2 linked regions of the Tribolium castaneum genome follow. Each later gene encodes a partner of the first gene's protein in a complex. Links are inferred from orthologs where the notes say so. Each region holds a gene or a part of one and is shown on either strand. Other genes may lie near its edges.

Evidence for each region.
Region 2: CycA (region 1) and Cdk1 share a complex: the UniProt entries of both Drosophila melanogaster proteins name them as parts of the frs-CycA-Cdk1 complex. The link is inferred for Tribolium castaneum from reciprocal best matches to the Drosophila melanogaster genes CycA and Cdk1.

What each region holds. Positions count from the first base shown.
Region 1 is NC_087402.1:7,980,365-7,984,826, reverse strand, and holds the start of CycA (G2/mitotic-specific cyclin-A), read left to right. Parts: upstream 1-1,349; 5' UTR 1,350-1,540; coding exon 1,541-1,687; intron 1,688-1,742; coding exon 1,743-2,177; intron 2,178-4,340; coding exon 4,341-4,462. Other genes in the region: exosome complex component RRP43, read right to left, coding at 56-263, 311-431, 478-772, 817-991, 1,045-1,061. UniProt on the Drosophila melanogaster protein: Essential for the control of the cell cycle at the G2/M (mitosis) transition. Interacts with the Cdk1 and Cdk2 protein kinases to form MPF. G2/M cyclins accumulate steadily during G2 and are abruptly destroyed at mitosis.
Region 2 is NC_087401.1:17,534,607-17,537,824, forward strand, and holds Cdk1 (cyclin-dependent kinase 1), read right to left. Parts: upstream 1,886-3,218; 5' UTR 1,678-1,885; coding exon 1,004-1,677; intron 947-1,003; coding exon 700-946; 3' UTR 633-699; downstream 1-632. Other genes in the region: transmembrane protein 53, read left to right, coding at 44-172, 221-382; CCT6 (T-complex protein 1 subunit zeta), read right to left, coding at 2,093-2,308, 2,359-2,510. UniProt on the Drosophila melanogaster protein: Plays a key role in the control of the eukaryotic cell cycle. Required for entry into S-phase and mitosis.

The sequences.
Region 1 (4,462 bases):
TAAAATTTTTATTTAAATAATATAGGATATACATTTATAAAAAAAAATGTTTTTATTATAAACTTTTAAAAGCTGTTTCTATAATTTCCTCAATCACAGTTGCACGTTTTGTACTTTCTTCCACACACTTTAAAAGTTGCTCTTCCGTAAAAACACAGCCACCTGGCTTGTGAACAAAACACAACTCTTCTTCCTTCACCACAATTGTCACCAAAGACGTACTTAAGTCCTCCTCATCCACTGTTGGGTCTATGAGAATTTTACTACAATCAAAAAATTAAAAAGTTTACAACAACAATGATAAGCTTACTCATCAAACATTGCAAACGTTGTTGCTATTGGAGTGTTGGTAACACTAAGAGCTTTCCTCTCTTGCACATTCACTTGCTTGTTGTCAAGGGCTGGATCGTACTGAACCGCTGGCAAAGTAACTGAAGCGCAATTATATTTTTCACAAAAAAACAATATTGTCTTTACCTGACTTAAGCGCTGCCATTAACGCAACAACACACGCGTCTATCAACGCCCCATCCAAATCCAAACAAATTAAATCAGCATATAAACACCAAGCTAATTTGTCTGGAAATATACATAACGTTTTTAAGTCTAAACAATCAGAGTTTTTTAAAATATCGGCAACTAACTGGGTCGCTACTTGGGCTTGTTCAGTTGGGGGTCCTGGCCGAAATTTTGACGAACACAACGGTGGTAATTCCACATTGGGGATCAAAAACCCCTCGTTTGCAGCCTCAGCCTTGGGCTGACACAACTCCTAAGGTTTGGTTTAGCAAATTGAATGCCTCCAATTACACTCACCGCTTTAATGCCGCAAACTACCGTCGTGCGACCAACTTTGGCAATCGCAGACCCATCGGCTGTCGAAATTGAGCCCAAATTGACCACGATGGGGCGATATTCCCCAAATTCGCGCCCATCAGGTCGGATTTTGTGGGCCAAGTGGTCGCGGAAGTACTTGACGGGGTGCAAAATCCTAAAACATAGGATAATCACCTTGTTATTTATTCACAGTACTACAATTATTACTTGTATTGTTCTGACATTATTGAATTTGTTTATAACCACGTTTTTCGTTTTTGACAATTGACATTATTAATGACGTTAGTTTTGATTGGTTGCCGACAACGGTGGGGGAAACGTTTGATTTGAAACGAGTAAATTCGGTTGAATAATGCAATTTTTGTAATGAAGACATTTGCTTGCAAATAGGGCATTTGGTTGGGAACAAGTATTGTCGATTGATTTTTGATTTAGTGCAAAATTCCGTTAAACCCTTCAAAACATGTTATCCCCACTCGTGTGACGTTGCTTAAATCTGGGCTCCCATTGGTCCCGTTTGTCATTTCAACGGTCTCTCAGCTGTTCGTTTCCCGCACTCTGCGCTCTTTGCATCTGGCCGTTAAAAACAGTCGTTTTGTCGGTTAGGGGTAGCTTGGGTGTTTAAGTTGGGGTTCAGTTTGGCCTTCGGTTCAGCAAACTTTTCGTTTTTCGGGTATTAGAAACTTGCACGTGTGTTAGAGGAATGGCATCGATAAGAATTCACCAGGACCAGGAAAACCGGGTGCCGGAATTGCGCCGAAAACCGGGAACGACTGCCCAGCAAAAACGGGGCGTTCTGGGCGAGATTGACAGTAATAAAGTTAATAACGCAGCCCTTAAAGGAAAACAGGTAATTAACAGTTGGAGGTAACTTTGGATGGGAAAAACGTTTGCTTTTTTGCCAGACGAAGAAGCCAACCGTTTTGGGAAACCGGGTGGAAAATGGGCAAAAAAACGAGAATAAGAAGAATGTCGTGGTTCCGGTGGCCCAGTTTGAGGCGTTTACTGTGTATGAGGATGATGAATACAGAGCGAGAATCGATGAAAGGCTCAAACTTATCAGTAAGAGTAATGTGTATAAAGGGACGGCCGAGGACAGGTTTATCACGAAGACAGAACTTGCCGAAATTGAAAGGAAAAAGAATTTGGAGAAATTGAAGGAAATTACTGCGCCTCAACTTAAGAGAAAATCGGAGATTCCGATGAGCATTGAGAAATCAGATGTGGAGAACATTGAGCTCAAAGAGCAAACGGTTTCCACAAATACCAATGCTAGAGATGTCTTTTTTGAAATGGAGGAGTATAGGGATAGCATTTTTGCTTATCTCAAAGAACATGAGGTAAAGTATCTTCAAGAACGACGAGAAAATTATTCCAAGTTTTTTTACATCCATTGACATTTATTCTCAATTAAAAAAAAAAAAACAGATTGAAGCCCTTTTTATTAACAACTTTGACTTTTTTTGAAATACTTTCGGGGCGGGAAATTTCATTATGGCTTTAATTTCGTATATTATATTCCATACTCTACGTTGTGATATGTTAAAAACATGAGAACACTTCAATTTACGATTTTTACCTATAACTTGAAAACTATCTTTTGTGGACTTTTCTCTAGAGCCTTTAGATGTGCCAAAAGCGTCAATTGAACCGGTTTTATAAAATCAGATTTATCAATTTTTGCGAAAATTTTGGTTGATTTCGATACCCGGAGCATTTATCGGGCAATAACTCCGGAACTGTTTTCCACGACCTTATTAAGATTGATCGTTGAAAAGCTTTTTTTATTTTCTATCTGCGACTGAAGAAATTGCTACTAAATGCAAAAATAGAAAGAAATTATTTCTGTAGATAACTTCAAAACTGTTACAAGTTTGGCCGTTTTCTCGACGTCAATCTATTCTTCGGATTATATTACATTGGAGTATCAAAGTGGTTCCATTTTTCGAATACTTTTGCTGTAATTGAGTAAATAAAAAATGAAAAATTACTGAACATTCTGTTTGATAAATCTTAATCTTATCTTTACGATGGAATAAGACTTTTTTCTGGTCTTTCAGTTTCACCGTATCCGTGTTTGAAAACTGATTTTTTTTGAGATTTAGTTCGATTTCTGGAGCATTTATCGGCCAATAATTTAGGAACTGTTAGACTTTACCCCATCAAGTTTGTTATTTTTGGAAAGCTTTTTTAACTATCACAAGCCAAAGATGTTTTTTATGTTTCCTGTATTCTGATTTCTGTAGTACCCACTGTTTTCTTTTCTACCACATTTACAAATAAAAAAAAGTTTATTATAAATTTTTAATAGTGAATTATTGAGTTAAAAATTTCAAATATTAGATGTGATACCTCTCGCGTTTAAAAAAAATCGTATGGGTGTTTTTTTTATGGATTGCTTCTGGGAGATCACATTTTATGGACCAACAGTAATGTTGTAATTAACATGTCTCTCACGAGAGGTAAAAGCGCAAAAACCGAGTGGTTTTATTTAATTTTTTGAAATAAGTAAAAATTATTGCTATGTCGTCATAGCAGTAAATTAAATTGGTAAAAACTGACAACAATATTGTAAACACTAAAAACTATGTTCGCCCGTGTTATCTATCGTTTTTTAAAATGATAATGTCATTTTTCTACCTATTTCATCTAATAGTTTCCGAGAAAATTGCTAAAGAAGCAAAATTAGGTAAAAATTATATGTTGTTAACTTGAAAACTATGAAGAATTTGACAGTTTTCTCTACAGCAAACGATTCTCCGGATTACTTTACTAAACCTATATTTTATTAGTTTTGTCGTAATTTACGATGGAATAGGATTTTTTTCGTAACTCTTTTAATTTCACCGTAACTAGCGTTTCACAATTGATTTTTTTTGGAGTTATCGCTTTGAAACCCACGCCAGTTTGTAGAGCTTTTGACGTCTGTTTCAATAGTTTCGCCTAATTGGCGCCTGAAAAAAAGGATAATTTTTTTCGTTTTTCTCGTAAACTGGTAATCGTCTGTCGGATGTGTGTAAGCAGAACTGAGACTTATTTAAAAAATATTACGTTACTCCAATAATTCGAATTCCAATGAATATGATTATAAAAAAAATCATGTCTTGCGATAACTTTTGTGCGCACTGTAAGAATAAGAATGCGTTTTAAATTATCTATGTTTTCGTAAAAACTCGAAACCGCTCCGGAAAATGGCTTCGCTTACAGAAACATTTTAAATTTTTTATTAAAAAAAATCATAATTCGAAATATAAAAAGTCCTACAGCAAAACGGTTTGATCAGATTACACTTTACGTAATATACTATTTTTCAAAAAAGGAAAATAGAGCATTTTAACTTAGAAAACCGTATTTAAACCATTTTTGCGGTCTAAACTTGAAAATTTATACGGAAACCCACTTTCTCTGTCAAAGTTCATGATTTTGAAATAAATATGATAGTGATACTAAGCATAATGCATAAACTGTGATTGGTCCTCCAAATCTCCACTAATTGTTTTCAGCTGCGACATCGGCCAAAACCCGGCTACATCGTGAAACAGCCTGACGTAACTGAAAACATGCGTGCTGTTTTGATCGATTGGCTTGTCGAAGTTACTGAAGAGTACGGTATGCAAACGGAAAC
Region 2 (3,218 bases), on another chromosome or scaffold:
TTCGCACCAAAAACTTTAAATATTCCTTGATTTATTATTGTAGGTTGTTAGCAATTACATCAGTCCGAAAAAAACGTTCCAATCGAACCCGTTAGAAAACTTGAAAGATGATAAAAACAACTGTCCCCAACATTTTATCTACTCGAAAAAAGACATTCTTATTCCTTATACGGTAACCATCTTAACTATTGTAGCCAATCATCTTTTTTTTTTTTTCAAGGATATTGAATATTTCGCCAACTATCGAAAATCTCTGGGTATCGATGTAACAACTCTCTGTTACGAAACAAGTCCTCATGTTAAACACTACACCGAAAATAAAGAAAGTTACGTGAGTAGCGTATGCAATTTTTTAAATAAATGCCTAAATGGCACAAATTAATTCACACAAAAAACATTTCAACGCTTAATTAAACTTTAGGGTACAATTTATTTTTCTAGACGTTGTTGAATTGCACAAAATGTATTTATTTCAATTGTTTCATTAAAACTATGTTCCCAAATGATCTGCTTTATGTTGCGCCACTGTCCCGCATTTCCTTTCACTGTTACCATAGCTACATTGACGCATCACCATAGCAATATACACGTGCAGCTCGTGCATGATGTATTAAGGAGGTTTTCAAACACAAAAGATTTTTTAAACAAATATATTTAGAAAATAGTCATACTAAACACGATAAACCTAAACCTAACCGCTTATTTAAGGATCGGCTTTATTGACGTATCAACCTTTTGCAAATACGGATGTAAAGCGATTTTTTTGGCCGAAATCCTCTTGGCCGGGTCATAAATCAGCATTTGTTTCAACAAATCTATAGCGTCGCTAGTCATATTTTTTACCTGACTTTCCAAAGTACATGATTTCCAATTAGGGAACGTAACCTTATATTCAGGTAATGTGGACACCCCTGGCCAGATTTCGTCGCTTGGTGTTTTCAAAACCCTGAATCGAAAAAAAATGCAAGTTGTTTTCGTTTCTATAGTTACATGATTTGATTACCGAAAAATGCGGAAAAGTTGGTCGATTTCGGAGTCGCCTTGGAAAAGGGCTTTTTTGTTGGCCATTTCGGCGAAAATGCAGCCCAGAGACCAAATATCAATAGGGCACGAGTAACGTGCAGAGCCGAGGAGCACCTCGGGGGCGCGGTACCACAAAGTGACAACTTCGTGCGTGTAAACGCGAACCGGGACCCCAAAGGCGCGCCCTAGTCCAAAATCGGCCACTTTGATAGCCCCTTCGGAGTTGATGAGCAGATTTTGGGGCTTAAGGTCGCGATGAAGGACTCGTCTTTGGTGGCAGAAGAGAATGGCTTCGTTGATTTGGTAGAGGTAGCTTTTGACGAGTTGGGGGTCCATGTAGGAGCCCTGTGGGATGGTGTCGAGGTACTTCTTTAAGTCCATTGACAAAAATTCAAAAATTAGGTAAAGACGATTCTCTTCCATCATCACGTCTTCCAGGGAGACTATATTGGGGTGTGTGAGCTCCTTCAGGAGGGAGATTTCGCGAATGGCTGTGGAAGGCACACCTTCGTCTTCGGGTTGCAGTCGGATTTTTTTCATTGCGACTAGCTGACCCGTCTTCTTGTTTTTGCCCTTGTACACCACACCGTAAGTGCCTTCACCAATTTTTTCGATCTTGAGGAAGTCATCCATGTTGGCCCCCTGTTTCGACATTGCCCCAATATAACCAAACTTTCCACTTAAAATGACGTTTATAACGTCAAATTGCAATGCCTACACGACCACAAACACGATATTTTATTCAAAGCACACGAGTTTTGTTAATTTTTACACACTTTTAACGGCTCGTTTGAAGAAATATGGAGAAAGTTCGTTGGAGATTTTTGAACCAACCAATCGGGTACAATTATCCCCGTCTCTATCGCACTCACGTCAATCACAATAACCTGTCTTTTTTTTGGCGTAAATAGACACACATTACCAACTTCAGACACACAAAATTACTATACGATCGCCAAATAATAGCTTTGGCCAAAAAATGGGTGTTAAAATCCTTTATTATTGTTGTATAATAATTACAAAATCAAGCATTAATACGTGAATAAAATTACTGACAAAAAAAATCCATTTAACCTTTCAAACTGCTCATTCCGGCTCTCATTATTTCATCAACCAACAATAAATTGCTTGCAATCACCGAACACGAATTAATTATTTGTTTCTTCACGATGTAATTATCGAAAATTCCGGCATCTTTCGGATTAATCGGTTGTCCTGAAGCTAAATCAAGCCCAATTGGTTCCTTATTGTTACGAGATTCTTCTTGAAGTTTTACAATAGTATCCTAAGAACAACAAATAACTATAAAACAATCAATGAGAAAATCACACAAACCTGAGCATCGAAACCAGAATTCGTTGCCAAAACTTTGGGAATTACAAGAAGGGCTTCCGCGTAAGCACCAATTCCAAGACGCGATTTTCCTTTAACGGTGTCCTTGTAAGCCATCAATTCTTTGTGGGCGGTCACCTCAAAAGCCCCTGCGCCTGAAAAATATCACAAAAAACTGTTTTGTGTGCAAAATCAATTTGAATTAAGCGCTATGACATTTAGTGATTTTATTGGTACGGTTGGTAGCGAAACAATTGGCGGTGCATCAAATTTCGTGATGGCCGCTTACCGCTTAGTAAATTCGGGAAAAATCGCTGTTAAATCGGTTATTTCGTGCAAATGTTTGTGCAAAAGTGTTCAAAGACTTTCAGTGTTCCGATGTGTTGATCTAAACGGCGATTTTCAACATTGACAAGTAAGTACCGAAGTTGGGTTTTTGGTGATGGGAGTAGTTGAAGCAACTCGTAAATTCAATTTTTGAGCTCTATTTTAAACGGAAAACGCATTGTGAGTCTAATAAATTAACAATTGTGTGGCCAGGTCAGGTCATTGACCCCTATTTACAATTTCAAAGCCTAGTAACGCACATTTTTAAGACGCGTCACAAAATGACTGTGACGTCATCCATTAAGCAACTAGATATTTTGTTAATTTCGGGAAATGAGTGAGTTTCTGACTGAAAAATAATGCGCTGGAACCTTAAAAAAAGTTCAAAAATAATATAATGCTGGGCTTAATTTTGTAGTTTTGTGCAAATATGCTTGAAAAACGGCCTAAATTTAACGATAGTTTAGATTTTTTACAATTCTTGACTACAAAATTTAAAAAATACACAAATTTGGTGATTTTTTGGGAGATTTATG